Saccharomyces cerevisiae S288C: one gene and its partner. Changing the gene in region 1 together with any one later gene gives a genetic interaction. Each region holds a gene or a part of one and is shown in the gene's direction. Other genes may lie near its edges.

What was found.
Region 2: mutations in BIO3 (region 1) and YRM1 together harm fitness more than expected from each alone (negative genetic interaction), as found in Saccharomyces cerevisiae (one large-scale study listed by BioGRID).

What each region holds. Positions count from the first base shown.
Region 1 is NC_001146.8:730,146-739,043, forward strand, and holds BIO3 (adenosylmethionine-8-amino-7-oxononanoate transaminase), read left to right. Parts: upstream 1-4,145; coding exon 4,146-5,588; downstream 5,589-8,898. Other genes in the region: HOL1 (Hol1p), read right to left, coding at 1-41; BIO5 (Bio5p), read right to left, coding at 1,473-3,158; BIO4 (dethiobiotin synthase), read right to left, coding at 3,211-3,924; MNT4 (putative alpha-1,3-mannosyltransferase), read left to right, coding at 6,658-8,400. UniProt on the Saccharomyces cerevisiae protein: Catalyzes the transfer of the alpha-amino group from S-adenosyl-L-methionine (SAM) to 7-keto-8-aminopelargonic acid (KAPA) to form 7,8-diaminopelargonic acid (DAPA). It is the only aminotransferase known to utilize SAM as an amino donor.
Region 2 is NC_001147.6:652,100-659,452, forward strand, and holds YRM1 (Yrm1p), read left to right. Parts: upstream 1-2,110; coding exon 2,111-4,471; downstream 4,472-7,353. Other genes in the region: sphinganine kinase LCB4, read right to left, coding at 1-1,785; DCS2 (5'-(N(7)-methyl 5'-triphosphoguanosine)-(mRNA) diphosphatase), read left to right, coding at 5,165-6,226; MED4 (Med4p), read left to right, coding at 6,648-7,353. UniProt on the Saccharomyces cerevisiae protein: Transcription factor involved in the regulation of multidrug resistance genes. Acts in concert with YRR1.

The sequences.
Region 1 (8,898 bases):
GGAATATAGTCCGGATGATCCCTGTTGGTATATTTGTCCATCTGTTAAAAATTTAAGATTCACACTCGCAAACTTTCTTCTATAGTAGTTCTTTTCTTTATATTCGTTAGAAATGCAAAAGTTGCGAAGCTGTTTTGTTATATCCTGTAGATTGTAATATGATACTTCGATTCTTTCGGATTTAGTGTTTACTTGCTATTCTTCTAGTTTCAAATAAATAAGATAATAAGGGATGTCAACTTGGTAGTAATAGCATGAAATAGTATCGTAAAATTAAGGATGCTAGCGCTTTCGACAACAAAATGGGCTTGTTTTATTTTTGCAGAGGAGGTTCAGTAAATATTACCTCAGAGACTGATACAGATAATTCTTTCTTATTCGACTGCGTATTTATCTTTATCGTTTAGATTGAAGACAATAGACAATTAAATGAATCTATAGAAAGGTTAGGAAATAGTCTAAACTACTATGGTTTGTTAACGGCGAGGTCTTTAGTTTAATTTTCTGTCTGGAAAATAACTTTATCCTAAAAAGAAAATTTTCATCAACTGCAACTTTTTTTGTTATGCTTTTGTTCTCGCTAGGCGAAAGCTCCCTAAAAATATCCGTAGAATTTCATATGACACAACCAGGCCTTGATGTAAACGTCAAACTACACATTTCTCAAAGCTTAGAGAGCTGATGCATGAAATTTTTGCATTGTGTGGTATTATATGTGACTTAAGAAAGTAATTGTACATCATAAGAGAGAAAAATTCTGTTCAGAGAAGAACTATTTGAATATATTTTAAAAGATAAAAAAATGTCTTGGCAAAAATAAGTAAGTAATGAAAAAGAAATTTTCTCGAAGAAAAAAATGAAAAAAATGACTAAGTACTCAATATCCTTGATTTTCTAGTTTTCATTTTCCTCAAAAAAACTTGTCCACATTCATTCTCTGAATCGTTCTTCTTTGGTATATACTATCATGCGAATACGTCTTTTTTCTTTTGATATTAAAATATCTACAGACTATTTTGTGCACCTATAAAATAAATTTTGTCATGACTTGTAATTTTCCCATAATCGGGACTATTTAAGGACCAAAAATACACTTTCGCCCAACTTGCTGCTTGACCAGGACTTTCGATAATCTCCTAATTACACTAGCTAGTTTTTACTTGTTATGGTTTGTGCAGTTGAGATAGCTCAGTAAAATGGCTTTATGTGTTCTGATCTTATAATGAATCGTAATCGAAATCCACATATTTCATTCATACTGACGGAGAATAGGTTAAGCGCTGCTGCTATGGTACCTACTTTTACTCTTTGTGGTGTGCGATTAGTTTTGTAATACAAGGGTACTTCTGGTAATAAATATACAATTATTTTATGAAACTATGATACAGGAGGGCAGAAGTTCTGACGATAGAGCTACAAAAGGTAGTATCGACCTAGGAATTTATAAGGACTGTTTTTCTTTCAACAGCATCTTAGATGCATGTAGGGAAAACAACGATGCTGATAATGCAGAAAACTACTGCATACACTACTGAGGTGTAATTCATGTTTCCTGCAGTAACCGGTAGTGTATATGGGAAAGATAAAAATACCAGGCAGAACAAGGTCCATAGAATACATATAATATGAGGAATCATAGACATACGACGACGGTTAGGCCTGCTGACACAATTTACGTCACTCTCGATTCTATGAATGAATTTTTCCTTTTTAATAACGAACAGGAATATAAAAGAAGGAACTGCGTACGACATTAGTAACAGGGTGATGCATGCAGTGATAATTGCGTTGAAAGCGGTACTAGATCCCATAAATATACAGCCAATTATCGTTACACATATTTGTGACAAAAAATGGGCATATAATGGAGACTTAAACCCAGGTGTCAACACTGCTAGCTTCTTCAAGGATTTGTTTCCCAAGGAACCCTCTTTATAAAATGGTGCGTAACTTTTCCCGAATGATTGGAGGATTCGACTTTGCCAGGTTCCACTTGCAATGCCTGAAACAAAACCTGTTGTGATACACATACATTGCAGGAAGACACTGAGATTCCTATTACCAGTGGCCTGGTAAAATATTTCTACGATAGGTAAAATAGACTCAACGACTGCCGTTTGGTCAGTGATGCAGAAAAACAAACCAACGCAATAAATAAAACTAGTTACAAAGCCCACAATGATGGTAGTGATAATAACTTTGGGAACTAAGAAACGTGACTTACTATAACCCACTTCATCAATCATGTGCGTAGCAGAGTCAATGCCAACAAATGCCCAGATCGGATTGACCAAACCGACAACAAACGCCATTCCAGACGAATTCCAGCCTGTTTGATTATCAAAGCTCCCAAATATATTAGAAGCTTTGGGCCATGGGTCTACGGTGTTGTCAGATCTTGAAACAATACAAATAATGAAAGTCATGGCGAAAGACAATAGAGACGTATAGAGCCCAAACTGAGAGATATAGGGCAACGGAGTTGAATAAATGTTGAAAAGTGTCAAAACGGCATTGATACACTCGTAACCCACAAAAACATGCCAGTGCTTTAACTCGTAGTCCGGATGCAACAACTTATGAATACCGATACAGCTCATTGACAAAGATGAGCAGATACTTGCGGTAGTAAAAATGGCACCGAAATAGTTCAGCAACCCTACAACCATGGAAGAAACCTTTTGAAATTTAGAAGAAACTTCCACGTTGAAAGTTTGACAATAATTCTCGAGGAACACTTCTTCATCATCGTCAGAAGGGTCCTCGTACTCAGGGGTTTTCAAAGTGACTGATTCTTGTTCCAACATTTTAAGAACCCAAAATGAACCACCGCTGCTGTTTGGCAGGATAGCAGCAAAATCTCCCAGAGATATACCACACATGAGACTGAAAAAAGCAGCAATTATCAACCCATAGATGATAAGCAGTGGCCCTCCACTGGCAATACCAACGGCCATCGACGCTGAGATACCGACCCATGAGCAACTTAATGAGAACGCGATACCTAATAGGGACCACCAATTAAAGTGCTTGTCAAACTTGACTTCTGACCTTTCTGAACTAGACATTCTTATTTCCGTCCTGTGACGATCTGGAACAATAGACAAAAAAAAATTTCTTTCATATACAAATAGGAACACTGCCCCTACTCTGTTCATACCATGCTACTTATATATAGCTGATGAAAGCCTTGCAACTTTTTTATTTAAACTATTCTACGTCTTGTTGGGTCATTAATGACTCCACCGATGGCAGTTCATGCAACTCCATATCCTGATCATGTGCCGTAGTACATTGTGCAACCTGTGCCATAATATTGACACCGAACTTCTTCAGGGCCTGCACGTTGCCTTCATTCGGTTCCCCATTGAGAATGACCCCAAAAAGGTGGCTTCTCAAGCCATTATCGCAAAGATGATTCCAAGTCAGCAATGTATGATTCAGAGTCCCTAGCCCGCTGCGTGCCACGACAACTACGTACACTGGATGGCCGCTAGTCTCAATCAGATGTTTAATTAGATCCGTCGTAATTTCCAATTTACGAGTGATAGGAACGCAAACCCCGCCGGCTCCTTCTACGACCAATGGATTCTCTGCGCTCCACTCTTCAGGAACTACGAAATCCAACAACCTGATGTCGACATTAGGTTCGTACTCCATGGCCTGGAGCGGAGATAGAGGCTTCTGCAGCGCATAAGTGGGCGTGAATATAGGTGGTTGCCAAGTTGATGCGGCTATTTTGAAATTTTTCAATGTCTCGGAGTCACCTTGATCTGACTCAATTCCAGTTTGTACGGGTTTCCAGTATGCAGCTTTCCATTTGTGTACCAATAATGTTGATACAAAGGTTTTACCAACATCAGTGTCTGTACCGGTGACGAATACAATTGGTTGTTGTTCTTGTTGTTGAGATTTGCTGTTCATGACCTGTGCGCTAGTGATTTTTTGAGTTCTTTTCACTGGCCTACTTGTGGAAAAAAGTATATCTCTTTATATACTTCAGTAAACGAACTACCAGCGGGATTTTATTTTGTTTTGCCCAATAATTTTGAATTATAAATAGCCATTGTTTGTATATTTCATTTTCTTTTGGTCGGGAGGATGTCAACAGCGCAATTCGTTTTCTATTGCTAGGATAACAACTAATGTCCCAAGAAATTTCATATACACCAGATGTCGCGGAACTGCTAGACTTTGATAAAAAACATATTTGGCATCCTTATACGTCATTGAGTTCACCATTGAACGTTTATCCGGTAAAGAGTGCTCACGGATGCAAGCTGGTGTTGGATACCGACTCACCAGTGGACGTCGAGGTGATCGACGCCATGTCGTCGTGGTGGTGTGTTATTCACGGGTACAATAATCCAGAACTAAATGAGGCCCTTACCAAGCAGATGTTAAAGTTTTCTCACGTCCTTCTTGGTGGATTCACCCATAAAGGAGCTGTGAATCTAGTCCAAAAACTTTTAAAAGTGATTGATGAACCCTCTTTGCAGTACTGTTTCCTCGCAGATTCTGGCTCAGTAGCAGTGGAAGTAGCTTTGAAGATGGCTTTACAATCAAACATGTCAGGGGAAGCTACTAAAAATAGAACAAAGTTTTTGACAATCAAGAACGGGTATCATGGTGATACATTTGGCGCTATGAGTGTTTGTGATCCTGAGAATTCTATGCATCATATCTACAACGATCGACTCAGTGAGAACATCTTCGCCCAAGCTCCCTCTATTGTCGATGGCCTTCCAACCAGCCAGAACGGTTTCGAGGACCATTGGAATGCAGAAGAAGTTACCGATCTCAAGAAGCAATTTGAATTGCATAGTGATAAGATCTGTGCTGTGATTTTGGAGCCTATCTTACAGGGTGCAGGAGGTTTGCGACCATACCATCCACAGTTCTTAATCGAAGTTCAGAAACTATGTAACCAATACGACGTTTTATTCATCATGGACGAGATTGCTACAGGATTTGGTAGAACAGGTGAGATTTTCGCATTCAAGCACTGTCAAAAATACCAGGACCAACATGGCATCAGTCCTTCCGATCAGATCAAAGTTGTTCCTGACATATTGTGCGTTGGGAAGGGCTTAACCAGTGGATATATGACTATGAGTGCAGTGGTAGTCAACGACAAAGTTGCTTCCAGAATCTCTTCTCCAAATAGCCCTACTGGTGGCTGCTTCATGCATGGCCCCACCTTCATGGGCAATGCCCTGGCATGCAGTGTGGCAGAAAAGTCTATGGATATACTACTGCGTGGCGAGTGGAGAAAACAAGTGTCTGCAATTGAAAACCAAATTTATAGAGAACTATACCAGTACATCAAGAACCCAGATAATGGGCTCATTGGAACTGTTGTTAAGCGTGTGTCAGTTATTGGAGCTGTAGGTATCGTAGAGCTATACAAGAAGACAGATCCCGAGTGGTTCCAGAAAAAGTTTATATCCAAGGGAGTACATATCCGACCTTTCAACTGCCTGTGTTACATTATGCCACCATATGTGATCACGACAGAGGAATTGACGAAGGTTAATCAAGTCTTGATTGAAGTATTACATGAGTGGAAATCCCACATAAACCAATGATATACGATCTCATCAAGTCATTTGCCAAGGAATTCTTATTTCTTGCGTAAAATGCATTCTTTTACGCTATTATTTATATTGATATAACTCAAAATAAAAAATTTATGGTTATTTATTCTAGCGGACCTTTATATCTTACTTTTCTTATCATAAAACTATGTCGAAGCCTGCTGCACAAGAGAAAATTGACTAGTTCAGGGCAAGAACGTATCACAGGAAGTACGAGTTGAGAAATCTGGACCGAAATGGTCCGTGGTCGCCTACCCGCCTTCTGTGCCATCACGGTACTCTCTTCTATGTTCTCCCATTAGCGCTAGTTACACTCCTCAGCAGCTGACACATCTCACGATCCTATCTTTTATTTATTATGAGAAGAACGGAAAAGATGGGATATTATAGGCTCAGCTTACTCTTCAAGCAACTACTGTTGAACCGGGTCGTACAACTCATACCTTTGAACCCTCTGGTAAATTTTTCCGGCAGAGTCAAGATTATTATTGAGGCAAACCTGTAAATTTCCTTCAGCATTTGATTATCTTCCGCTACTTGAAATTTTGCACTATATCTTCCTCTATTAACCTATCCGCAGTAACTATTCACAAGACCTTGAATGTAGTAAACGATGTCTATATAACTTAATATTGTGTAAGATCTTACAAGATGTACTGGGCCCAGGCTTTTCACGGGGATCAAACCGTTGCTCTCCTAGATGAGAAAACGCTTTGCCATCACACTGAAGTAGCATGGGCAGTATTTTCCCTCGAATATTGTTATTATCAAAGCAAGCAATATCAGCAGTAGTTTTTATTTCAACATATAAGATCACCTATGTTGCAATCTCTGCAAAATTAGTAATGTTACCCTCCAAGTAATTGTATGACCTCTCTTCTGAAGGTAAACATTGCGCCTCTTTGTTTAAAGCAGCAGCACTAGTTTATCATGGTTTCGTTACCTAGGAAAGGATCGGTAGTGCTATGTAACACTTGGAAAAGATGAAATTTGTTAACATGAAATTGAGTCCCTTGTGTTAAGGTAAAAGTGCCATCTTTAAAAACGTACTCTGCAAAAAATGGTATTGCGCATACGAAGAATTAAGAAACTGGCACCATTGATCTTCACATCATTGTTGTCTCTCATTGTTCTTTTTAGGGTCTACCGACAGTATCCATTCTCCGACCATTTCGAAACACGCAGAGAAGATGATCGCTCTGGCAACGTGCACTGCTTTTCTAGACTGCGTCAAATAGAGGAATATGAAAAGCCGGAATTGACAAGTAAATTCTATGAACCGAATAGATGGAAATCTTTTATATCTTACGTGACCAGGAGTCGCAAGGATGTGAAAACTGTGTCCCGATCGCTATCCAATTTGGATTTGTATCAAAAATGCTCAAAAGAAATCCGTGCTGATCAGGATATTTCCCTTCTTCATAGCATAGAAACCAAGTTGTTCCCATATATAAACTTCACAGCCCTAAATAGTGAACAATCTCATAATTTTTGGCCTGTTCATACCCGATTTGATGGAACAAAGTACCGTGGACAGGTATTACAATTTTCTTCTGAGAACAATTCGTTCATTGGAACTTCACCCATTGAATTCAAGGCTAGCGAACCTTTTTGGGAGAACTGGTTGAATTCAGCTCTTCAAAGGAATTCAAAAGGTGTGGTAATGAGCGTATCGGAATATCTGGTGGCTGATACAATTCGACTAATAAGAGTTTTGCGGCTGTTAAATAATTCCCTTCCAATTGAAATCGTTCACAAATCGGATTTACATGAGAGTTCTCAACAGCTCTTGATAGCAGCAGCAAGAGAATCTGGATCCTTAAATTATCCCCCTCAGGAATTGTGGTTTCTGGATGTGAAAGACATGTTAAATGACGAATATTTAGCGAGATTCAAGAGATTTTCGAATAAGTGGCTGGCAATTACCTTTTGTTCATTTCAAATACCAATCTTTTTGGACTCTGATACTGTACCTTTTGTCCCGTTGGATACACTCTATGAAATTGACGGATTTAAAAGAACAGGTACACTGTTTTTCAAAGACAGGAGTTTTCCAACCTCCAAGTTAAGTCCACTCCAAGTTAAAGTTTTGAAGCAGATAATCAATAATAGTCTGGATGTATCCTCGGATTCGGAGCAAGGTTTTGAAATCTTAAAACATAACCTAAACGATGAGATGGCAATTGATGCAATAGAGGCCTTGATTTTCAAGAAACAAAAACATTACATGGACAGCGGCTTAGTGATATTCGATAAACAAAAACACTTTTTCTGTCTACCAATCGCAATAATGCTGCAATTTTCGCCTATCCAAGAGTTTTTCCATGGTGATAAGGAATGGTTTTGGCTTAGTTTGTTTATTTCCAAAAAAGAGTTTACTTTTTATCCAATAGAGGCTTCGAATGTAGGAAGATTAGAGAAGCCGGAGACTCTAGAAAGCAGTACAATCTGTTCTACCCAGCTATCTCACACGGACGTGTACGGTAATCTTTTGTGGTTGAATGGCGGATTATCCGTTTGCAAAAAAAATTGTTGGAATTATGATTTTACAAAGCGTAAAGAGATTGCGGCCAAATACAAAAGCGTTGATGAATTACGGAATTACTATCAATCACCTGTGAAACTCGAAGCTGTCATAATACCCGATGTCAGCAAGTCCCCCTGGTCGCAACAGAGCGAATGCGTTATGTACAGCTATTGCACACATTATAGGAAGGGACAGTACGGAAAATTGATAGAGTTTACAGATTCTCAAAAGAAATATTACGAGAAAGTTGTAGAATTATGGAACAAGGTTGTATAGAGTATGTTTCAGTATGAGTACGGTGAATTTCCTATAAGTTTTTAAACTTTTAGATTTTTCTATAAAGCATGTTAAACCCTTCTTGACATCGTTTTCAAACGGCATCTTTCCTACGGAACTAGGCTGTTTTTGAGATATCCTTATTTAAGTTCCTCTTGGCACAATGTTATTCCCGCATTTATATTTAGTTAACATTATGTGAAATTCGCTCATAAAAAGAGCCTTAGCTCTTTCTTCATTTTGCCTCAAGAAAACTTTAAAATAAAGTAGGAATGCCAACAATACTTTTCTTCAGTAAAAGACGAATATTGGCGTAGAATTTTACCGGTAATCATATATACTTGGCTTAGAACACTGACACATGCATTTTTCTCTGGACCCTTGCACAAATCATCAGTAGCGCCTGAATCAAAAACTAACAAAATACCATATCTGTTTTAAACAAATAAGTATATCGCATGAAGTAAGTTTCCCGCACGTAAAACTACTACAACACAT
Region 2 (7,353 bases), on another chromosome or scaffold:
CAAAGGAAACTTTTCACCATCCACTGAAAATAAACCTGACTCCACTTTTGGTATAATCTTATAAGCCAATATTTTTGAGTGAATAACTTCTGGCTCTAATACATGAGAACCTTTATCCAAGGATAATAAAATTGGTGTCATTCTTGTCACTGGGATTCTTGCATCCGTTATGACTAAATCAATGGTACCATCCGCTGGTAAAGCAGCGGGAAAAAATTTGGTGTCCTTAGCAATATACGGCATTTTCCCTGTGTAAAAGATTGTTAAGTTATCAGTTAGCTCTGAATCCATTTTCTCCCAGTCTCTAGGTACTGGTTCCGTCATCGGATACTTTAATTTAAAGTTGTCCTCGTTGAGAAAATTCGGTGAAAGTTCATCTTTTGTACTGTTGTTGATATTGTTTTTAGATAGTAAATCCGGCGAAGAGTTTGGGCTAGGATTTGGTTCGAAGGTTAAACATCCTTTGTTTTTATCTTTATTTTCTAAGAAATGAACTTTTAATTCCTTTTTAGATTTGGCAGCATATTTGACGAAAACTTCGCAGGGATATTTCTTACCTTGGATAATGTTGAATGCTACACCCAAATTAAACCTAACGGGACCCATCCATCTGATGAATTCAGTGTTAATATCAGATTCTGCAATAACGCCGTACGTCTGACTCAAAAAGGATAATCTTGGCCATTCGTTCATATAAGAAGGTTGGGAACAACACATTAAGTCTATTCTTGTTTCAATGGATTTGACAAGGCACAGAGCGGCGTACGATGGGTTATTTGTCCAATGACATGAAATGCTCATAGCATTTCCTGAACCGCAAGGTAGCTGAGTTACGGCTAGTTTATTGAACGCATCCACTCTGTCGGGTCTTCTATAAAGCCCATTAATTACTTCGTATGGAATACCATCACCCGAGGCACATGCAATGGTATCGTATTTGCTGATATCTAAATCTTTGGCAATATCGATGGCGTGACGGGCATATTTTGTGTATGCAATTTCTATTTTGCAGCCACTTTCCACTAGTATTGGCCTTGCTTTTGTCAGGAATAAATTTTTAGCAGTACCTTTACCACCGTGGGGATTAATAATGACTAATATCGATCTGTTTCTCTTGGAATTTTCATAACTTTTTTCCAGGATTTCTTCCACAGTACCAGAAGAAATGTTCTCCTCTCCGGTATTTGCTCTCGATTTCCTAGAAACGTGATCTATTAACAAGGTTAATTTTTGTGGTATAACATCATGGCCCTTGGGTACAGCAAAAGTTAACTCAATTAACTGTTGATTATCTTTTATCCCTAAAGATGGTGAGTTATCCTGTGAATCATCGGGAGACACCTTCACAGTGTTCGTTTTTGTATCCCACTTGTCTTTTTTGGGAAATGACTGTGATTCGCTTACAGGAGCCTTATCATTGCTCAAACTATGATTCTCAACGTCGTCATTTTCAGACGAAGAACTCAGATTTTCCGTTTGAAAAGGATTCGAAGAAATTTTGCCATTATTGAAGCCTTTCTGACCGACATTCACATATTTTGCGTTCAAAATTCTGTTGAACGGAATGGTAGTATTAAGAGGCAACAGTTCCAGGGAATCATCCTCATCAAAAGAACCTCCATCAGAGCTCAAAGTTCCATCATCCAGACAGGACAAGCAGCTCAACAAGGATAAAGAATCTCCGCTTCTGAGTTGACCATGCTTATTGAACATATGGTGTGATTGCGATTTGATCAATACACCTTCATCGGTCAAGATAGCCCTAAGTTTTTTCTGCACCACCATTATCTATAGTAGATTCTTCGCGTACTTTTCGCTGCTAGACTTTTGTGTTCTTGATAACCTCCAGGATCAGTACGTTAGACAAGGGAAAGTATCAGATGGGTTAAACACGAATTTTCACCTTCTTGTATGCCTTTCTTCCGTTAAATCATCTTTTTGCTTCAAGACCCTTGCAGCACGTTTTTTTCAGGCTCGGCAGTAGGGTGACACCCATGGTTTACAAGGCGATAAAATGACAAATGCCAGGTGGTATTGTAATAATAACGGCAAGAGTATAGAAAGTCAGAGGGGAAAGCACATTGAATGGTCCTGGTAAAGGGAGTTGTTAATGAGTAAGCGGGGTAGTTTACAGGATAGAGCTTCCCCATCGGAGGAAACTGTAAAGAAGGCGCAGAAGAGACGGAAACCAATAAAGTCATGCGCTTTTTGTAGGAAAAGGAAATTACGTTGCGACCAGCAGAAGCCAATGTGCTCAACTTGTAAGACGAGGGGTCGTTCTGGTTGCCTGTATACAGAGAAATTCACCCACAAAATAGAAACAAAAGAGTTATTTGGCAGTACTCCGAACATTGAACTGTTGAAAAGGATTGAGGATTTAGAGAAAAGACTAGATGACAAAGAGTTGACGGAGAAGGATGTAGCGCTTAGTACGAGCCCATTTAGGAACCCTTACGCTAATTTTTACTATTTACAATGTAAAGGCTCGGGAAGAAGAATAGTATATGGTCCTACATCTTTGAGAACGCATCTCTCAAACGATGATAATCGGTTTGTAAACACGTATAATCAGCTCTGGTCCAAAGTGAAAATCGAGAGAAACAGATGGAAGGCTAGGCATAAATGGACAATGAAGCCAGAAACTCAACTCCTAGAGGGACCGCCGTTAGAAAAGACAGGCTCTGACATCTTGCAACAGGTTTGTAACGTTTTGCCATCTTTTGAACAATCGTCAAAGATTATAACAGACTTTTTCAATACTGAACTGGAAACTAATGAAGTTAGTGAAGTATTAGATAAAACCAAAATAATAAACGATTTCACTTCCTCGTTTCTTCCAAGTGACGAACTGTTACCCAACGGTGAAAGGCGGATTGAAAAGTTATTACCATCGACAAAGAAAAACTATTATAAGATTGGAGTTATTTTGATGATACTGTGTATTCGCCATTTCTACAAAAATACTCCGGAAGAGATAGAGAAATTTCTCATCATGCTGACGGGACTGTCAACAGCTAAAGTATATTTCATTGAACGCGCTCAATTTCTCTTATTGAAATACTATCATCGAGAACTAATTTGGGCGTGTGGAGACGATTCGCATATGATTAGTCTAGTTGACTTATTATGCAGCACGGCAATTATGCTGGGTTTACACTTGAATATAAGAGAAATATACAAAAATCAAGAAAATATTGTGGGGAGTATGGAAAGTTTGGAAAATTTGTGGGTTTGGATTATATTATCAGATTTCAATGTTTCTTTAAATATTGGGAGATGTTTGGCGATTAACTCATCCTATTTTCAAGTCGATGAATGCGAGAATGGTGAGAGGTTGCCTAAAAATACAAACAATTATTCATCGACGGTTTTTTTCGATCAGTCAAATTCCTGCATGGGCAAGCTTAAAAGGTTTTTAAGATTAGCTCGACCAATGCTAGATCAAATTTATGATAGAAGCGCATTTCCAGACTTAGCCGAAAATTGTAAAAAACTAAGAAACTTTGTAGAGACTGAATTCCACCCAATATCATATTACACTGACAGTGAGTTAATATCTAAAGTTCCTTTGTGCGAGATTAAAGTGCTTGCGCAGGTTTTGAATTTGTTGTTGACGTTTTATTCCTTGAGGTATTTGATTTACAAGGAAAAAAGCGTTGTTTTAGAGAACAACATCCTGCAAACCATTTTGGTCTCTTTTTCCCTTGTCATCAATACGACCATACTGTGTTTTAACCTAGATGAGAAGCATTTTCCTGAGTTTTTTGATCATAATTGCGTTCATTTACCGCCATTTATGGCCTTGTCTTTAGTATACACAAATTTCCTTTTTCCTAGGGCCTCTACTGGCTTTTGTGCGTTTTTGTATCATAAGTTAACTCTTTTTGAGAAGGGCTATTATCTATCATCCAACATCAAAGATCAAGAAGTCACAGATTGGGATTTGTCAACCTTGAATATCCCGTTGGATAAAGCTATGAACTTACTTACTGCTTTCAAAATACATTCAGATATATTTGCTAAATGGTCTAATGATAACAACAAGCAGTTAAGAATTATTATGGCTCGCTCTTATACATTTGTTATCAACATCGCCCTGGAAAGCATATATAGAGCTGTTTTGGAAAAAGTAATCAAATATAGAACCGAGGTCGAAAACACATGGTTACAACAACTCCAAGACGAATTGAATGGGTCCTATTCGCTCACTGACAATGTAAATACTCCAATCGATCCCAGTTTAAGTGACCTGGGCGTCACAAGCGCCAGTCCATTGGCGGGAAATTCTCCAGGATTACCCCCGGAGGAAGTGCGAAATAACAGCGAAAACGCTTCGCATAACAATGAAACTGGGCCAATTGAGACTGAACTGGCACAGACAATATCCAACGAATTTTGGACGGCGTACAACCTTGGCTGGGAGGAACTAATGAGTCAGCCAGATTATAAATATTTATTTGATACGCAGTAGAGGAGAAGTTCTTTTACAAAAAAACATGCTTGCGACAGCAGCTAGATAGAAAACTTGCATATTGTAATGGAAGACAGTCGAGAGCAAGCCATTGGCTTGGACTTGCGCTTGGACCTATCTTTCGGACCAACTATTTAATGATTAGTAAGACAAAAATGACATTTAAGCATCTATAAAATAAGAAAAATAAAAAAATGAAGGGAAAAAGCTAAACACTAACTTCTTGACCAAACAAACAAGGAAAAGCCAGTAATTGCGTGAACAAAAGGCACCTGCAATTGTTCTGATGGATGTACTTTGTCCAACCTATTCTGCAAGAAAAAGAAATCAACTCCAAAGAAGTATGGAGCTTACTGGCACTCTAGCCTCCAAAAGCTGTTAAAGTGTTCATTCGATTGTCAAAAATCTTCCCCATAATAATCACCCACCTCAACAAAATACTTCCACTTAATTATTGATCGATTAGAGCTAGCGTCAGTGATTATATGCTAGTCCGAAAGGACAGCCCCATGACAGCGGCCGCGCAGACGCCTAGGGGGGAAATAAGGGGTGACAATACCAATGAGTATAAAGGCAGAAAGAAGAGAAACAGAAGCACGGGGGTTTCGTTTGGTCTTCAAATATATGTTAGGTCGGTACCTTTTCATTGCAAAATTGAAAAGATTTGAGCGTGTAAAAGTAAAAAAATACATGATGGGTTCCCAAGATTTAGCTAGTTTAATTGGGAGGTTTAAATACGTCAGGGTGTTAGATTCGAACCCTCATACAAAGGTAATCTCACTACTAGGCAGCATAGATGGGAAGGATGCCGTGTTAACTGCTGAAAAGACGCATTTCATATTTGATGAAACGGTACGTAGACCCTCTCAAAGTGGCCGTAGCACTCCGATTTTCTTTCATCGTGAAATAGACGAGTACTCCTTTTTAAACGGTATTACTGATCTGAAGGAATTAACTTCGAATGACATCTACTACTGGGGGTTGTCTGTTTTGAAGCAGCATATTTTGCATAACCCAACTGCGAAGGTTAACTTAATTTGGCCCGCCTCGCAGTTCCACATCAAGGGATACGACCAGCAGGATTTACATGTCGTCAGAGAAACTCCTGATATGTATAGAAACATAGTTGTGCCCTTTATCCAAGAGATGTGTACCAGCGAAAGAATGAAATGGGTAAACAACATTCTTTACGAGGGCGCCGAGGATGATAGAGTTGTTTATAAGGAATACAGTAGCAGGAATAAAGAGGATGGATTCGTCATCTTGCCCGATATGAAGTGGGACGGAATCAACATTGATTCGTTATACCTGGTCGCGATCGTGTACAGGGACGACATCAAATCTTTGAGAGATTTGAACCCAAACCATAGAGATTGGTTAATTAGACTCAATAAGAAGATTAAGACCATCATCCCCCAGCACTATGACTATAATGTAAACCCGGACGAGCTAAGAGTTTTCATTCATTATCAACCTTCATATTACCATTTTCATGTCCATATAGTGAATATAAGGCATCCAGGAGTAGGCGAGGAGAGAGGCTCCGGAATGACAATACTGTTGGAAGATGTTATAGAAGCGTTGGGTTTCTTAGGTCCTGAAGGTTATATGAAGAAGACGCTTACTTATGTCATTGGTGAAAATCATGATTTATGGAAAAAGGGCTTTAAGGAAGAAGTTGAAAAGCAACTGAAGCATGATGGTATCGCAACCAGTCCTGAAAAAGGCTCTGGGTTCAATACCAATTTGGGTTGAAGGTAGAAGAGCAGCACTATTTTTTCATGTGCTGAACTTCAGGAAGCGCCGGCTTATATAAATGTCTTATTTAAATGTTTGTGTATACATCTCAATGGATTTTGAATTTTAACATAGAATGCGAATGCACAGTAACATAGTACATTCAGTTGCTATTTTCCGTATAAGCTTTCTTTCCCTTATAGCATACATAGCCTTTGACGTATTGCCAGCCTTTTCAAAGAAATGCGAAAAAATAGTGCATTACCACCTACGTAAGGTAGGCTGGAGAAAAAGATAAACTTTTGCATTCTCTGCTCACCATACCGCGAAGGAAAGTAGTTATAACGTGTCCCGTTTTCAACAAGGTTTTCTGGTATATTGTTAACGGTGGAGAAAGCATCTAGTATCAATTACTTCCAGAGTACACACAACGAATGTTATGTCTGTCCAAGATACTAAAGCGGTAGAGTTTTCTATGGGTCACATCAGATCATCCTCTGTATCCCTGGTAGCAGAGGCTACTTCAAACACGAATAGTGAAGACAAATTATCTAAGGTCCAACTCTACGAAGATTTGTGCCGGTACGAGGATACATTGAGTAAGTTGGTGGAATCTGTAGATCGTTTCAAACCAAACCTTGATATTGCCAAGGATTTGATCAGAACTGATGAGGCCTTGTTTGAAAACGTCAAACTGTTAGCTGAATATGACAATATCTACCGCAACTTACAGAAGATTGACAAAGACTCTGAAGAACTAGATTCTAAAACCAGGAAGATATTGGAAATTCTAAATGAATGTCATGACGAGTTAAAAGCACTACCGATGCTTGAACAAGTAGAGTTCGAGAAAAACACAATTTTACAGCAAAGATCGAAAATCAATTCGACAGAGTTGTTGGATTATGCCACCAAACTCTCCAAGTTTACCAAAATACCACCAACGTTCGACAAGGGAGCTGTGGGACCCAACAATTTTATATGGCCCGCAGAGGATGCCCTACGAAGAGGAATGCTTGCTATGGCCTCATTACATAGTAAAGAGCTAACTAGAATACCCGGTGAAGAAGTAGAAGAAACAGAAGTACCGACCGTACCGCCATCTCAAAGTGAAGAACAAAAAGGGCAGATGGCCAAGAAAGAAG